Linked DNA regions of Bombyx mori. The protein of the gene in region 2 purifies or fractionates together with the protein of the main gene of each other region. This does not show direct contact. Links are inferred from orthologs where the notes say so. Each region holds a gene or a part of one and is shown on either strand. Other genes may lie near its edges.

The links.
Region 1: the proteins of DNA-directed RNA polymerases I, II, and III subunit RPABC4 (region 2) and DNA-directed RNA polymerase III subunit RPC2 purify together in Homo sapiens (affinity purification with mass spectrometry; 3 studies listed by BioGRID and IntAct, with this or other methods). This does not show direct contact. The link is inferred for Bombyx mori from reciprocal best matches to the Homo sapiens genes POLR2K and POLR3B.

What each region holds. Positions count from the first base shown.
Region 1 is NC_085116.1:7,719,095-7,727,857, forward strand, and holds the start of DNA-directed RNA polymerase III subunit RPC2, read left to right. Parts: upstream 1-2,448; 5' UTR 2,449-2,675; coding exon 2,676-2,750; intron 2,751-3,128; coding exon 3,129-3,460; intron 3,461-4,044; coding exon 4,045-4,157; intron 4,158-5,089; coding exon 5,090-5,265; intron 5,266-5,698; coding exon 5,699-5,886; intron 5,887-6,410; coding exon 6,411-6,795; intron 6,796-6,869; coding exon 6,870-7,233; intron 7,234-7,304; coding exon 7,305-7,763; intron 7,764-7,840; coding exon 7,841-8,635; intron 8,636-8,763. UniProt on the Homo sapiens protein: Catalytic core component of RNA polymerase III (Pol III), a DNA-dependent RNA polymerase which synthesizes small non-coding RNAs using the four ribonucleoside triphosphates as substrates.
Region 2 is NC_085111.1:12,246,973-12,255,271, reverse strand, and holds DNA-directed RNA polymerases I, II, and III subunit RPABC4, read right to left. Parts: upstream 4,640-8,299; 5' UTR 4,447-4,639; coding exon 4,383-4,446; intron 3,734-4,382; coding exon 3,641-3,733; intron 2,975-3,640; coding exon 2,952-2,974; 3' UTR 2,802-2,951; downstream 1-2,801. Other genes in the region: uncharacterized protein LOC119628526, read right to left, coding at 5,943-6,611; ARL14 effector protein-like, read left to right, coding at 7,963-8,042, 8,149-8,292. UniProt on the Homo sapiens protein: DNA-dependent RNA polymerase catalyzes the transcription of DNA into RNA using the four ribonucleoside triphosphates as substrates.

The DNA.
Region 1 (8,763 bases), on a different chromosome or scaffold from region 2:
AATACGACCGACGTAACTTGGCGAGTCTGAATATAGCCGCAGGTGAACTTTCGGAAATGTTTTTTTTTTTCTTTTTTTTTTTCCTACCTAAGCTGGTTGCCTTGAGAGGCTATTCCAGCGTAACCTTAACTAGTAGGTGAGCTCACGGGGCTCAAACCTGACGACGTTGCTAACACGAACCCTTGCAAGAGCCGTGCTTCGCAGAATCTACCACCGGATCGGAAACGCGATCCACTGAGAAGATCCGGCGAGAAACTCAGTGGGCTGTGTCTGAGGGTTAATTTGCTCGTCGAGCCCTTCGTCGCAAGCGACGGGTTCGACGAGAACGGTGACCGGTGCTTGAAGTACCTAAAAGCACCGTTAGTGGATCGGAAGGATCCAAATTACGTGTTTTGGGCGACGTCGACTGCTTTCCATTCTTTCCGCAGGATCGGGAATGTAGTTACCGGCGGCCACGATGAGAGGGTTCTCGTGTCGTGCCGCTTTGTCGAAGTGATCCGAACCGTTTTTTTTTTTTCCTGCCTAATCTGGTAGCCTGGAGCGGCTATTCCAGCGTAACCGTGGCTAGTAGGTGAGCTCACGGGGCTCAAACCTGACAACGATGATAACACGAACCCTAGCAAGAGCCGTGCTTCGCGGAATCTACCACCGGATCGGAAACGCGACCCACTGAGAAGATCCGGCGAGAAACTCAGTGGGCTGTGTCTGAGGGTTAATTTGCTCGTCGAGCCCTTCGTCGCAAGCGACGGGTTCGACGAGAACGGTGACCGGTGCTTGAAGTACCTAAAAGCACCGTTAGTGGATCGGAAGGATCCAAAATGACGTGTTTTGGGCGACGTCGACTGCTTTCCATTCTTTCCGCAGGATCGGGAATGTAGTTACCGGCGGCCACGATGAGAGGGTTCTCGTGTCGTGCCGCTTTGTCGAAGTGATCCGAACCGTTTTTTTTTTTCCTGCCTAATCTGGTAGCCTGGAGCGGCTATTCCAGCGTAACCGTGGCTAGTAGGTGAGCTCACGGGGCTCAAACCTGACAACGATGATAACACGAACCCTAGCAAGAGCCGTGCTTCGCGGAATCTACCACCGGATCGGAAACGCGACCCACTGAGAAGATCCGGCGAGAGTGGGCTGTGTTTGAGAGTTATGTCCGAACCGTTTTTTTTTTTTTTTTTATGATTGAGAGATTACTGGTGGCCCGAAGGCCTTTCCAGTTTCACCAGGACAGGTGGGCGAGCAAAGGCTCAGCCAGGAGGGGTGGGATTTGCTAACAGCTGCCCGAGCGCCTCCGAAGGAGACCTAACAACTCAAGAGCAATTGCTTCGCGAATGAATCTACTACCGGATCGGAATCGCGACCCGCTGAGAAGATCCGGTGAGAAGCTCAGCGGGCTGATGCATGGGCTAGGTTGCACGTCGACCTCTTTGTCGAGTTCGACGAGTACGGTTACTGGGGTCCCTAAGCCTGCTCCTAGTATTAGAGCTGAAGGCATCTAATGCAAAGGTTATTGGATCTGATGGATCCGTAAGGACGTGTCTAGGGCGTCGACGGTGACTGGCTCCTGCATGATCAGGATTCGGTGAGTAGTCAGCGGCGGCAACGATAAGGCGATTATCATGACGCATATCCTTATCGAAGTACCGTTCCGACGCTGACTTCATGTATTTCTGGATTGATTCAAGGCCCAGGTCGTCGTGTATTGTCCGAACCGTACCGAGAATTACCGAATTTATACGATGTCAAGAAAAGGGATGTCCAATATGCGTGTTTGAGGATGTTCTTTAATAAAAATAAAGTTTAACTTCTTACGCGCGTACATAAGTACACGCACCCTTTTTTTTTTGTTTATTTAGAGTTTCTTCAGGTTTAAGCGCCTTATTCACGATCCATCACGACTGTACGTCAGCTCAAGGCCGCAATTAATAATAATTATCGACGTACGTCAAGCCTATTCATGATCCTTTTGCATCGTGCATCGTGCATGGCCTTGGCGGGACGTACAGCAAGATGGATCGTGAATAAGGCGCTTTAAATAGGTAATCGGTGGTTTATTAACTGTCTATTATCTGTGAAAGTGCATAAATGTGGGAAAATGAAACAAAGCTGCTGAACGTAACTTCTCGGGATCCTCGAAAATCCACTGAAAAAGTCTCAGTAAATGACCACCGTTTTACTGAGATTATATTTCATCCCATATCACCTCATCTCATTTTATTTCGTTTTAATTTCATTTCATTTCATGCCATGTTTTATATTAATCGACTTTATTTCATTTCATAATATTATTTTTCATTTACCTAAAAAAACTTTTCATTAAAATTAAAATAAGACTTGACCTTGACTTGGTTTTAGTTACCAGGTCATAAAATCCCTTAAAAAAAGTATAGATGGATTTAAAAATTATTTATGGGCACGCTGTATGGGCTTAGATCCCCTTGCCTTTCTTAAAGGAAAAATTGTACCAAAAAAATATCTATGAGTTTAAAGTTTGTAATTAAATGTGCAGAATTGTGCTCGTGTTTGTTCGTTGTTAAAAATTGCACTTATTGTTTACATATGTACTCATCTGATTTGTTCCATTCTATAAAACAATTCCAAGATTCCATCGCTTGGTAAATACGGACAATATGATTTACTGCCGAAGATAGTTCAATATTACAATAGCTTATTTAATTTACATGATGGGCGAACTTAATAAAAAACAAAATGAGTGGGATACCAAAGGATTACGGGACCCTGTCAAAACCCTTGAGGTACTAGCTTTATTACTTTTCTGAATTACTACTATTGTTTTGATACACAATTGAAAAAAAAATACACGAACTATAATATTACTACTAACCAAACAACAAAATCATATAACTGTCTTTAAGATTTTGTTCATTCATTGATATTTAATCACTCCAAAGTTCAATTGTATAGTAACAAAAGTTGTAAGTGACAATATACAGTTGAGTTCAAAACCCTACCAAAGTATGATCATAATTATTTGAATAATAAAATGTATGAATTTTATAGAATAACATCATAAAAATCTTAGAAAAAAATAGTACAATTTACTGACGTCCTGATTTTATCTTAAATTTCTAATATTTCAGCTTAACACTGTTCATATGAATGTTTTCTTTCAGGATAAATGGAAATTAGTGCCTTCATTTCTTCAAGTTAAAGGTTTGGTGAAACAGCACATAGATTCATTTAATTACTTCATAAATGTGGAGATAAAGAAGATAGTACAGGCTAATGAAAAAGTATTTTGTGAATCTGATCCACTGTTCTATATTAAATATTTAAATGCCTATGTTGGTACACCTGACTTGGAAGAAGGGTTCAATATCACTAAGCCAACGACACCTCATGAATGTCGTCTTAGAGATATAACATACTCAGCTCCTATAACTGTTGATATAGAATATATTAGAGGAAACCAGAGGGTGATCAAAAATAAACAACTGATTGGAAGGTAACATCTTAAATAAATGAAGAAATGCATATTCTAATACTAGCAGATGTAATGTTGCTTGATCTATTACTATATCTTGATCTTACTCACTAAAAAGCAGAACATTCCAGGCTTTAAAAAATTCTGTATTATACATATCAAATGAATTTAACATTCTGTACTCCCAATTGAAAATATCCTATCTTAAAAACAATTCAATGAAAAGCTCGACAGAGAAATTATGTTTTATTGTTTGTCCACCCCACCCAATGTAACTCAGTTAAAAATTGATTGACTTATGGGCTGCAACTATTGATGATGTAGGAATTTAAGTAGTTCATCATCTGCCTTTTACCTATCTTCACGACACATGTCTGTCAAAGTATTAATAAAGTAGTCAAAGTAAAAACAGTTTTTGTGTCAATATCAAAGTAATAGTATCACAAATTTTTAACATGTTAATGATTCCTTTAATTACTTTAACATTAGGTCTTTGCTTATGAAGTTTAACAATACTGGCCATTTGAAATGTAATTAAATTATATACCTATTATTAACATCACTCTCATATATCATTTTGAAATCTGTATTTTGATTCTTTACAGAATGCCCCTCATGCTTAGGTCTTCAAACTGCGTTCTTACTAATAAATCGGATTTTGAGCTTGCACAGTTAAATGAGTGTCCCCATGATCCTGGAGGCTATTTTATTATAAGAGGTAAGAAACCAATTTAATTTTATACAACTAATATTAAAAAAAAACTCCAATGTATATAAATGTAAAATGTACATAAAATATTTAAATGTGTAATAATTGTAATCATAAAGTTAAATTTTATTAATTTGTTAATCTGGAGTAAAGTACATTGGGAGCCTTATATTTAGTCAGAATAAAAATAAACGAAAATTTAAATAAATATAATATAAAGAAATATAATAAATAAATATAAAGAAAAACTTTAAGTTAAAAATACATAGAATAAAAAATTTGGCAAGACTTAAAGCATAATAACCTAACATTGACCACATTAAGGTTGCATTTCACACTACATTTGGGTTTTTTTTTGTGGTCTAAATGAATGAAATACTGAGTTCTCTGTGAATATACAGTTATGAGCTAGGTTTCTAGACAAAATAATATGGTTTTAATGAAACACATTTATTAACAGTGCTCTAAAACAAAGTTAAAGACAATCAAATTCAAATTATCATTTTAACGATACTGTAAAAATAACTGCGTTTGAACGTTCAAAGAGATGATCTGATTGAGTAGCATAGCCAAAAAATATGCTAAAATTTATCTAAATTTCTAAAAAAAAAAGAAAACAGTTTTGGGATCCGAACACTATTGGTTTTGATTTCAAGAGTGACAATATTTTATTATTCGATCACTATTGCATACAGTTACATGGAGTGAATTCAGTTAGTTTTATATTGGCTTCATGTACGCTTTTTCATTTATGCAGCCCCTTTAATAGAAGTTCAATGGATGTATGGTTTTTAAAATGAAATGTATTTTTGTTTTTATTTTTCCCTGCACGAGTAGTACCTAGCCCCGTACCCGCTTGACCTTGAGTTTCAGGACACCTGTATAAGTACATATATATGTAGTTTACTTGAGTAATGAAAAACAATTTTTATTGTCTGTAGGTCAAGAAAAGGTGATTTTAATTCAAGAGCAACTCTCTAGAAATCGAATGATTGTTGATGAATTCAAAGGAGCAGTACAATGTCAGGTTACAAGTTCCACACATGAGAAGAAAACTAGAACGAATGTGATTCTTAAACATGGAAAATATGTGCTCAGACATAATGCATTGTCTGATGTATGTTACTACTTAAATCAATTTCATTTAACAAACAATAATCAAAGCTATATATGTATTTTTTACTGGTGGTAGGACCTCTTGTGAGTCCGCACGGGTAGGTACCACCACCCTGCCTATTTCTGCCGTGAAGCAGTAATGCGTTTCGGTTTGAAGGGTTGGGCAGCCGTTGTGACTATACTGAGATCTTAGAACTATATCTCAAGGTGTGTGGAGCATTTACCTTGTAGATGTCTATGGGCTCCAGTAACCACTTAACACCAGGTGGGCTGTGAGCTCGTCCACACATCTAAGCAATAAAAAATAAAAATAAAACCATAATATGTTTTGAATTGGACTTCTTCCCTTCAAAATTACAAAAGCTATTTCAAAAGCTAAAATAAATAATTTCCAATTATGTAGTTTCCACTAATTTGTATTTTTTTATATTCAGGATATTCCAATAGCTGTCGCCTTTAAAGCCATGGGCATATGTAGTGATCAAGAAATAATGCAGCTTGTAGGTACTGACGATAATACAATAAAAAAAATGGCACCTTGTATTCTAGATTGCCATAATTTGAAAATATTTACTCAAAATCAAGCTCTGACTTATATAGGAAGTAAACTAAAAGTAAAAAGGTAAGGTTTCATTTTACATCTAATTTATCACTGTTTAGTGCATATATAAATAAAAATATTTTACTACCCCGCTGTTTCTGTAAGCTTTTTTTGTAATCAAATTACTTAATAGTTACTAATTGTTTTAAATGTTCGCGACTAATAATATATTGAACGCGTTCATAATTTAATTTCGTTAAAAATCTATGCTAAATTGTGATAAAGTACGCTCTTTGTGCTGAGGAGATAGAGAAAATATGTCCAAGGAAAGTAGTCCAGTATATGACAAATTGGGCCTGGAAAAAGATATCTATATAGAACGCGGGAGAAGTTGAAATAAATCCAATTCAGCAGTGAAAGTGTACTTACAGTCTTCCATCCCTTGCGAGCATTCATATAAAAATACCGTTTGATAGATCTAATATGCTTATAGTTAAAAAATAAACGTACATTTAAACCTTAACCATTGCCATTACATATATTTAAATGCTTCCACATTTTCCATACAGTACCTATTAAAATCTATTTTTGTTTTAAATGTAAAGGTATCAAGGTGGAAACACAAAAGTACGCTCACCAATTGATGACGCTCGTGAACTATTAGCTACGACTATATTAGCTCACGTATCGGTTGAGAATTACAATTTCTACGTAAAGGCCATTTACCTTGCGATAATGGTGAAAAGGGTAATTGAAGCCGAAACAAATAAAACTGCAATAGACGATCCAGATTACTATGGGAACAAAAGGCTTGAATTGGCGGGGTCTTTATTGGCACTTATGTTTGAAGATTTATTCAAAAGATTCAACTGGGAATTGAAGAGTATAGCCGATAAAATAATACCTAAAGTTAAAGCTGCCCCCTTTGATGTTGTGAAGCATATGAGACCGGATTTGATTGCTAATGGACTGTTTACAGCCATCTCTAGTGTTAGTACAGTTTATCGATTTCTTATGGGCATTAATTACTCATTATACCATGCTAATAAGATATAATATTTTAGGGCAATTGGACAATTAAGCGCTTTAAAATGGAAAGGCACGGGGTCACACAAGTATTAAGTCGCCTCAGTTATATATCAGCACTTGGTATGATGACAAGAGTAAATTCCCAATTCGAGAAGACCAGAAAAGTGTCTGGACCACGGTCATTACAGGCCTCACAGTGGGGTATGCTGTGTCCTTCCGACACTCCTGAAGGAGAAGCATGCGGTCTTGTTAAGAATTTAGCACTTATGACGCATATTACAACAGAGTGTTCTGAAGAGCCTATTGCTAAGTTGGCCTGTAATGCTGGAGTTGAAGACGTAAGGCTGCTAGGCGGAGAAGAAATAAATCATCCTGCTGTTTACATTGTCTTTCTTAATGGTATTTGAAAAACATTTAAAAAAAAAACTCATTAAAATGTTATCTGTACTTATAGTTTGTTTCCGTTACAGGTAACATACTGGGCGTTTCTCGACAGTATAAGCGGCTGATTAAAGTTTTTAGAATGTTCAGGAGAAGAGGATTGATTTCAGCTTTTGTCTCCATATATCCCAATCATAACCAAAGAACCGTTTATATCTGCAGTGACGGCGGCAGGCTCTGTCGACCGTACATAATCGTAGAAAGAGGAAATACCTTAGTGCAGCAATCTCATTTAAATGAATTAAATAGAGGTATAAGAAAATTCCAAGATTTCTTAAATGATGGTCTTATAGAATATTTGGATGTAAATGAAGAAAATGACAGTCATATAGCAACACGTGAAGTAGATATTGATCCGTACGTCACTACTCATCTAGAAATAGAACCTTTTACGATATTAGGTGTGTGCGCAGGCTTAGTACCATATCCACATCACAACCAGAGCCCTAGGAACACATATCAATGTGCTATGGGTAAACAAGCAATGGGTAAGTCTGAAATATTTTGGAAATTACATCATTTATAATTAAAGTTTATTCACAGAATTAATTATTTAATCTTTTAGGAACCATAGGGTACAATCAAAAAAACAGAATCGATACTCTAATGTATAACCTTGTTTATCCTCAATGTCCAATGGTGAAGTCTAAAACTATTGAGTTGATAAATTTTGATAAACTGCCAGCTGGTCAGAACGCTACTGTCGCTGTAATGAGCTACAGTGGATATGATATAGAAGACGCTTTGATTCTAAACAAAGCTTCGATTGACAGAGGATATGGACGTTGTCTAGTTTATAAAAGTGCGAAAACAACAATGAAGCGGTACAGCAATCAAACATCGGACCGAATTTTGGGACCTTCGAGAGATGCAGTTACAGGAAAAGTAATTAGAACTCATGATGTTTTGGATTCTGACGGCATTGCAGCTCCAGGTGAAATGGTTGAAAATAGGCAAGTTTTAATAAACAAACAGATGCCGCCGGCTACGATAAATCCCGTCACTCAAGGACAACCGCAACAAATTGAATACAAAGATGTACCAGTTACATACAAAGGGCCAGTTGAGTCATACATCGAAAAGGTTATGGTATCTTCAAACTCCGAAGATGCTTTCTTGATAAAAATCTTATTAAGGCAAACCAGAGTTCCAGAGATCGGTGACAAGTTTAGTTCTAGACACGGTCAGAAAGGTGTAACTGGCTTGATTGTGCAACAAGAAGATATGCCTTTTAATGACAGAGGAATATGTCCTGACATGATCATGAATCCCCACGGCTTCCCATCTAGAATGACAGTGGGAAAAACCATTGAGCTCTTAGCTGGAAAAGCGGGATTATTAGAAGGAAAATTCCATTATGGTATGTATATAGGTTACAAGGATATATTATTATTTATGTATCTTAACGTATCGTTTGAATTACGGAAATTTATAAATTTGATAGCATAGATTCTTATTATACGATATTATGGGATGAAGAAATTCATT
Region 2 (8,299 bases):
TATTTTAATAACGATGTAGATTTACAATAACATTTTTACAATATTTTCGAACTGGGTTGCTGCACTGCGCCTTATACTACTATTGTACTATACCATATTGGAATATCAATTTTCAAAAACAAACTACTTAGTTATTTTTGTAAATATCTTGTGTCTGATCATATCACGGGACTGTCATAATTATTAAGGTACAAAATGTATTTAAGTACCACCATAATAAATAACTATCTATTAAAATATATATGTACATAATCGATAAAAACCTAAATCTACCATTATGATCAAGAAGCTTATAGCAACAGAAAGGCATCGACGCTAATCAATGATTTATAATTATAGGCTCCTAATTCTAAAACTTATACAAAAAATCTGCTATACGTTTTAATTGAAAAAACTGTTGAAATAGACATTCAAGCGGAAACGATAAATCGTATCAGTCTCGAGAGGCGACATAAAGTGCGGTAAATAAAAAAATAAATATTTTAAACAAAATAACATGCATACTTAAATAATTCACATCTACAAATAATGTTTCTAATATTAATCCAATTCCGGATTGGCATGAAAGAAAAATGATAATATTCAATATAATTTCAATTGAATGCCTATTTACTGGTATTGTCATTATTCACATTATTTTAAATCATACATGATCCATCCTTTCATCTCTCATTACAGACGGGACTCTATCAATTTTACTTGCCCTTGTTTACCATTACTTATAAGATCAAACCGTTTACAATTTAAATAACAAAATCAAAATTCGATATGTTACTCAAAAATGTGATCCGACGTTATAATTCTCGCACTATCCAATAAAATTGTTTCCAATTCTTTGCTATTCCATTGTTGTGCGAGCGGCTCTTTTTCCATTTAAGCCAGTGTGCTTAGTGCGAGTTTTTTTAACGTTCTCGATAGCGTAAAAGTTAGGTCATATTTGTATGGAATGGGATCGCTTGCGTACGTTTGCCGCTAGGGGCGGTTCCAATTGCATACAAAATTGGCTTAACTTTTACGTTATCGAGAACGTTCAGAAGCTCGCACTAAGCACACAGGTGGCCTGTAAGCGGTCTTATCTACAATAATAAGTTGTTCTAACTGATTAAATCCATCTAATAAAATTTCAATGGTTCGGTACTAAACGTTTCATATTAAACGTCCCCAAGCTAGGGTTTTCCCCTTTGTTATAATGGGTGCTTGAAAGTTAAACATGACAAATGTATGTACATTTAGTCCTCGAATGCCAAATGTTTTTAATGAAGAAGCTGACTTCGAATTTAAAGAGGACTCTGTGATACAATAGGTAGCTAAAGTCAACTCTACTAATTCAGCAAAGCCATAAATACATATTTAAATGCGTATTTTACAGAATACAAATAGCTCATTTCCATATTAGTTTTTCAATGAAATTATCTCCTCTGTTAGCCACTAGTATGATTTTAAATAAATACATAATTATTATTTTCAAAACACTTGCGAATAGAAATATAAGCTTTTTAAAGATAATCATTTAGTTATTTCAAGTTTAAAATGATTTTTAATTGATATTTTTCTATGTAATTTTTATATTTCAACTACCGATAAATTGAAATTTATTACGTCATCTGTATAGTTCTCTAATTGGGACATAATATAAATTCGAGACAGAACATGTAAAGTTACTTGATCATAAACTGTCATGATTTTGTATTTTGTTTCCAAGAATGTTATTTGTATGTGCTATAAACTTTTTGATTATGATTAGTGAGTTGGTAACTATAGAATGGAATTAAATCTCTTTATTCAAATTTTCTTTATGCATGTGTATACCCATAGCATGTTTATATTCACTATTATATAACGTAAGCAAAAAGTTGACTTAGAGGAATGTGTGAAAAATTAAATTTGATATTAATGTCGTGAGTCCTAACAATTATTTATTGATAGTTTTTATGGATCGAAAAAAAATGTATATTTGTGGCTATTGTAAAATTTTAGACATACATTTTCTGGTGTTTTATTATGAGAGGTAATAATTTTAATAAATTGTTAAAACTTTATAATGATGAAGTTACATAATTAAAATACACTGAGATATTTCCCTTTTGTTTTTTTTATTAGTTGTTATTATTTAACGGAAGTTTTACGAAAGTACTCCATATTGACACTTTGCGTCTGGCGCCACTAGCGGTGTCGTGTGCAAAACTGGCCAACGGTCACACGTAAATGCCGCCACCCATGTTTACGATTAAAGGAATAACATCGTGTAATGAAAATCAAACCCGCAAAATTATAATTTGCGTAATTACTGGTGGTAGGACCTCTTGTGAGACCGCGCGGGTAGGTACCACCGCCCTGCTTATTTCTGCCGTGAAGCAGTAATGCGTTTCGGTTTGAAGGGTGAAGCAGCCGTTGTAATTATACTTGAGACCTTAGAACTTTATCTCAAGGTGGGTGGCGCATTTACGTTGTAGATGTCTATGGGCTCCAGTAACCACTTAACACCTGGTGGGCTGTGAGCTCATTCACCCATCGAAGCAATAAAAAAAAAAGATAATGAACTCATTTGATATCTATCTATAAAGTTACATATTTTTCTTGCACTTAAGTCTTTTTTTTTTAAGGCAGTAGTTCATTTAGAAACATCAAATAAGTTGATTGATACTTCAAATCATTCAGATTACTTATATCTATTGGGTACAATTTAGAACACATATATCATGGCGGTAGGTGGCATTCATGTTTTAATGTCTATGGGCTACCACCAGTATATAATGTAAAGTGATGATGTAGATCTATAAATCTACTATAAAAAAACTACCTTGTATATATTTTTTTTCATTGGTCAGTATTATTAGAGCATAGACAAAGTAACAAAAATACACATTAACCTTATTATAAATTTATTTCACTCTTCTGTGCATGATGTATCCACCGAACTTATCTTCTAGGGTTTTGTTTCCAGAATTCGTTTACCGAGCGTCAAACACAACCACTGAATTCTTACTTAAGGAAAATTTTTCAGAATATTACGAACAAAAATATGATGAATTTAAAATCAACACAAACTACAAAAAGGGTAATTTTCTGAAGATTTTAACAGATATGAGTCGTCTATTATCAAAGGTGGCAATCTGTACATTTGGACAATTTTTTTTTATTGATATGTCAATACAGATTTATTTGAATATAATCGTCTCCTTCAAAGAATACGGTTCAAAACCTGCATTAAATAAAGGTTAATAGTTAACCTGTTATTTATCTAAGATGTCGTTCCGAAGAGTTTTGTGACTGCCAATGGAATACAAAGTCAATAATTCGTTTTTCTGATTTACCAATCATTGTCCAAAAGTCAGATTGCCGCCTTTGATAATAGTCGACTCATTTATTACATTTATTTTCTTGCAAGCTCAATGTGATCTAAAGGATAAAACAGATGGTGTAGTTGTGTCAAGCTGTGCAACCATGCAAATGTGCAAATTGCATATACCAATATCCAAAGAAATATACTCTCGAAATGTGATCACGAATCACTTCCACAATGAAGGAATTAAATATGGGTGATACCTGTCAATACCTTTCTACTGATTAAAATCACTAGGCTGTATCCTAGTCCTATAATCTTTACTTTAAGAATATATTTATAGAATCAAAAGGATACGTCTTTTTGTTCTTTTCTTGTACATTATTCTGTAACCACATTCTCTGCACCTAATAGGATCTCTTGGTTTGATTTCATTCTCTTTGTGACATTCTGAAAATGATAATGAAAGCATCATTTGTTTTGCAGACCCATATTATAGTTTCAGGATTGCATTTATTAAAGAAACCAACATTTAAACAGTTGAAGTAGATGATCGGCAAAAACAATAATGTAGAAAAGGGCAAACAATATAATTTACTCTCAATTGAATCAATTTCATTTTTCTAATACTTTTAAGTTTAGGTTTTTTAAATTTTAATATTAATATTAACAAGTTTTATTAAAAGCACTTAAGCTTTTACGGCTTTTAGCTTTACTAAAGAACATTTATATTTATACAGATGCATTCCCCATTTGAAATATAGTAAAACAATAACACATTAAACAAAACGCCTTAATTTATACAATGTTATAAGACAGTGTGAATAATTTTATAATCTACTATACACAAAAGACAAATTAACTGATTTATTAATTCTTTGTTTAGTAGACATTGACAAGCTTAGTGTTATCGGTAAGAACATTTTAAAAGTAGTTTCTTTCTTTTTTCTATAAAAAATGTTCATAAATCAAGAGAAAAAGAAATACAAAAAAAATATTCAATTATTGGGGTATGCTGATACCTAACAATTATTAGGTTATTTTGTGTTAGTGTTTTACAAAGTGATAGAAGTTTTGTTATTATTTGGTTACACTGTACCTCCACAAACATATATCATTGGCACTTTAGTAACTGATTGCTCTTTCCCAGTTGTGTCAGCCATTATGTGCTAAAATAGAGAAAAATTAAATAATAATAAAAAATGTGTTTTATTTTAAATCACCAATTTGATTTAAGCTTTATATTAAGTGTATAATCTATGCTTTGGATTGTTATTTTGTGTGTAGAATCTATGGTTTTTGGATTTGTTTAATTAAGCCGCAAAGGGAACTTAAACCATAAAACGTTTTGTTCAAAAGAGGGCTTGTCTTGTTGAAGAAAAAAATACGTAAAAAAAGGAGTGGAAATTTAAAAGAAAAAATCATCGGGACATTGGAGGGGAACCGAGGATTATTTTTAATTATTTGTTCGTCGTTTGATCGTCAATGTTTGAATGTAAAATTATCTGTTCGTCTTTTATTTATTTATAATTAATTAAACAAATGATCACCCTTCAGTTGGCCCCTCTTACTAGATATCTTTGTTTTTATTGCTCAGATTAATTAATTTTGATCAATTATTGTTTGTTCGACGACTATTGGTGATTGTTCGATCATAAAAACAAGTAAATTCGAAATTATTAATTATTTTATATCTAATAAGCAAATTATCACCTCACGCCTACATTGCGCATGCGCCGGTTTTGTCAGTCAGATGGCAATGGCCGACGGCCGTATTTACTACCTTTTTGTTACGCGCGAACATTAACGAACAAACGACGAACAAATAATTAAAAATTAAAAAAATCGAAAATTAAAAAAGGGGACCAAATTCAGTGAGCCGTAAAGCAAATAAATGGCATATTTTTTTACATTTTATTTATGGATTGAGTTAGCTAATCTGTGCATTAAGCTCCCAAACATAGAAAAACAGACTTTTTGGCGGGAACGCGAGGAGTGATATTGTGTGATTTGTTATATTTTGTCTATTTAGTGTTTCTTCGGGTTTAAATGTGTAATAATGGTGGTTTATTAGCAGTTTAATATCTGTGAAAGTGCACAAATGTGGGAAAATGGAACAAAGCCGCTGGACGTAACTTCTCGGGATCCTCCAAAAAGTCCACTGAAAAATCTTAGTAAATGACCACCATTTTACTGAGATTATATTTCATCCCATATTTTCTCATTTCATTTCGTTTTCATTTCATTTCATGCCATGTTTCACAATAATCAACTTCATTTCATTTAATAATATCATTTTTCATATAAAAAAGTTATCATTAAAATTAAAATAAGACTTGACCTAAAGGTCTTAGTTACCAGGTCATAAAATCCCTTAAAAAAACAAACATAGTAAACAAAGAAATAAATATTTTTTCATTTTTTTCCCTACCTGCACCTGCCTATTCGCTTAATACTCGGCAAACTTCTTGAGCATTAGTTGACGTAGTGGGGGTAAGTTCGCGCATCGTACAATTACGTACAAAAATGTTAAGTTATTAAAAACAACATAATATGTATTTATTTATATATTTATTAGTACATGAACAAAAAATACAGGTTAATAATTGTAGTAATTTAATCTAGGGGTAAAATAGATATTCCTTCCATTAGGTCAAAACTAGGAGCTGGTGCCAGGTCTTGGATCAGCTGAAGCTGAGCTGGTATTTTTAATTGTTTTTTCGCTATCATAATCATGACCATCATCATCATCATCACTACTTTCTTCATCCGTGTCGCAATCATCGTCAGCAAAAATTACAAACTCATCAGTGACTAAATCTACCACATGATCACTTTTTACATACTCCGCCTCAATATCTTTTATCTTTTGACATATTCTACCCCATTCCGGAGCACCCATCACCGCGACCTTTTCCTTCACTAGCTCTATTACTTTGCCAGTGCTCCAGTCGACATTTTTGCTACTGACATACCCTTTAATAGCTGCCCAAGCCATTTCAATTGGGTTGAGGTCTGGATGGTATGGAGGTAAGCGAAGCACTGAATGGTTGTGGTTTGATAAAATTTTATCAATGCTGTATGTTTTGTGTTGTTCCTTATGTGCTTTAATCAAGCTAAAAAGCTGGGGTTTCAACATGTTTTCATCGTATGGAATTTCTTTTTCTTGTAACCATTTCTTCATATAGACTTTTTTGGCATTGGCAGTTGGAGCGGGGTCAGACTGTTTATAGTGATATGACGCATTGTTGACTACTACAACGGAATTTGGTGGCAGATTTGGTAGCAATTGACAACGCAGCCATTTTTCGTAGTTCAAATAGTTCATGTTATCGTGGTAGTCACCAGATTTTGTGCCAGCTTTAAACAAAAGAAGGGCATTGGGAACAAATCCATCTTCGGAGCCAGCATGCACTATTACTACACGCTGTCCTTTCGAAATTGGTTTTTTTAAACCCCCAGTTGATCCATCTGACCACGACATACCACTTGCATGTGATGAGTCGACATAGGACTCATCGGTGTACACTATCGGTCTTCCTTCTTGCCTATATTTAATTATTTTTTGGAGATATTCGATCCTTAGTAGTCGAATATTACTTTTTTCAATTAATAGCTTCCGATTATTTTCTGTTCTTTTCCATCTGAAGCCTAGCTCTTTCATAATTCGTCGTAAACTTCGTTCCGAGCCATTAAAATTTATATCTTCTTTCAATTTTTTACGAAGTCTTTCGACGGTAGGAAGTTCGCTGTTTGTTATGTGATAATTATGAATACATCTTTTTATTGCAGATTGGTCGAAACTATCAATTCCGGTAACTTTCTTCTTCCCTGATCTTTTTTTACCTGGAGTACGAAACACGGCGAGCAAGTTAGAGCCCTTCGCTTCATTAATAATACGCCTAACAGTACTGACTGATGTTTTTGTTGCCTCTGAAGTCTCTTTTACCGTTTCCATATCATTATTTCCCTGCTTTTTAAGAAAGCAATATACGTCGTACACCATTTTTCTAGCTTGTCTTTTTAATACTACACCAGTTTGACGTGGCATAGTATATTTTTTATAAAAAATCAAGAAACACTCAACAAATAGCAATAACAACAAAATCAACAAACAATAATAATTATAACAAATAACTTCAACGATTAATATTAATAGACTTTTCACTGTACGCAAGCGTACTTTTGGGAGCAAGCGGAACGAGTCTCAAATATATTAAGTGTATAATCTATGGGAACGAGGGCGCGGTGCGGGACGCAAGGTTCGACTGATCTACCAACAACGCGCTCGATACGATTTCCCCTGCCGTCGCGCCTCACCCTCACCACCAAAGTGATCTAAAATTCGGTTCTGCGCAGTCAAGGTCATTTGCTCACAAAGTTTACCGCATAGAGTAAGATTATATATTGTTTACCGGTTACAGCTGGCTATTTCAGCTTCTCAGTACTTCTCACCGACGGGTAGGTGAGCTCACCTCACTAGCTAAACCTGAGAGAATTTGCTAACACTAGGCCTAACAAAAATAGTCGCAGAATTCGCAGAATCTTCCACCGGATAAATATATAATAATAAATAATAATAATAATAAATTAAATATCGTTTGTATTCGGGTAATAACGCGCGGAAGAGAATATTTTTTTAATATTATTTTGTGTTTGTAGCATGTACTTTTTAAAAGATGCGTTTCTTAGATAATTTTGATCCTAAAAATTCAGCTCGTGAACGTAGAAAAGCAAACAGGAAAAAATATTTCACTTCGTAAGTTGAAACAATTTCTATTCTATTGAATCCGTTCAAGTCTGAATTTGTAATATATATAAATATATTTTCATCAATTTAATAGTCAATATTTCTAATGTTGCAGTCGAAAAGTGAAGAGAATTTATGATGACCACGGTCATATTGCTGAAACTGGCAAAGACTTGTGTGATTGCCTCGATGAGAAGTGTCCCGGATGCCATTTTCCATGTGCAAACTGCAATTCCAATAAATGTGGCCATGAGTGCAGGTATAAA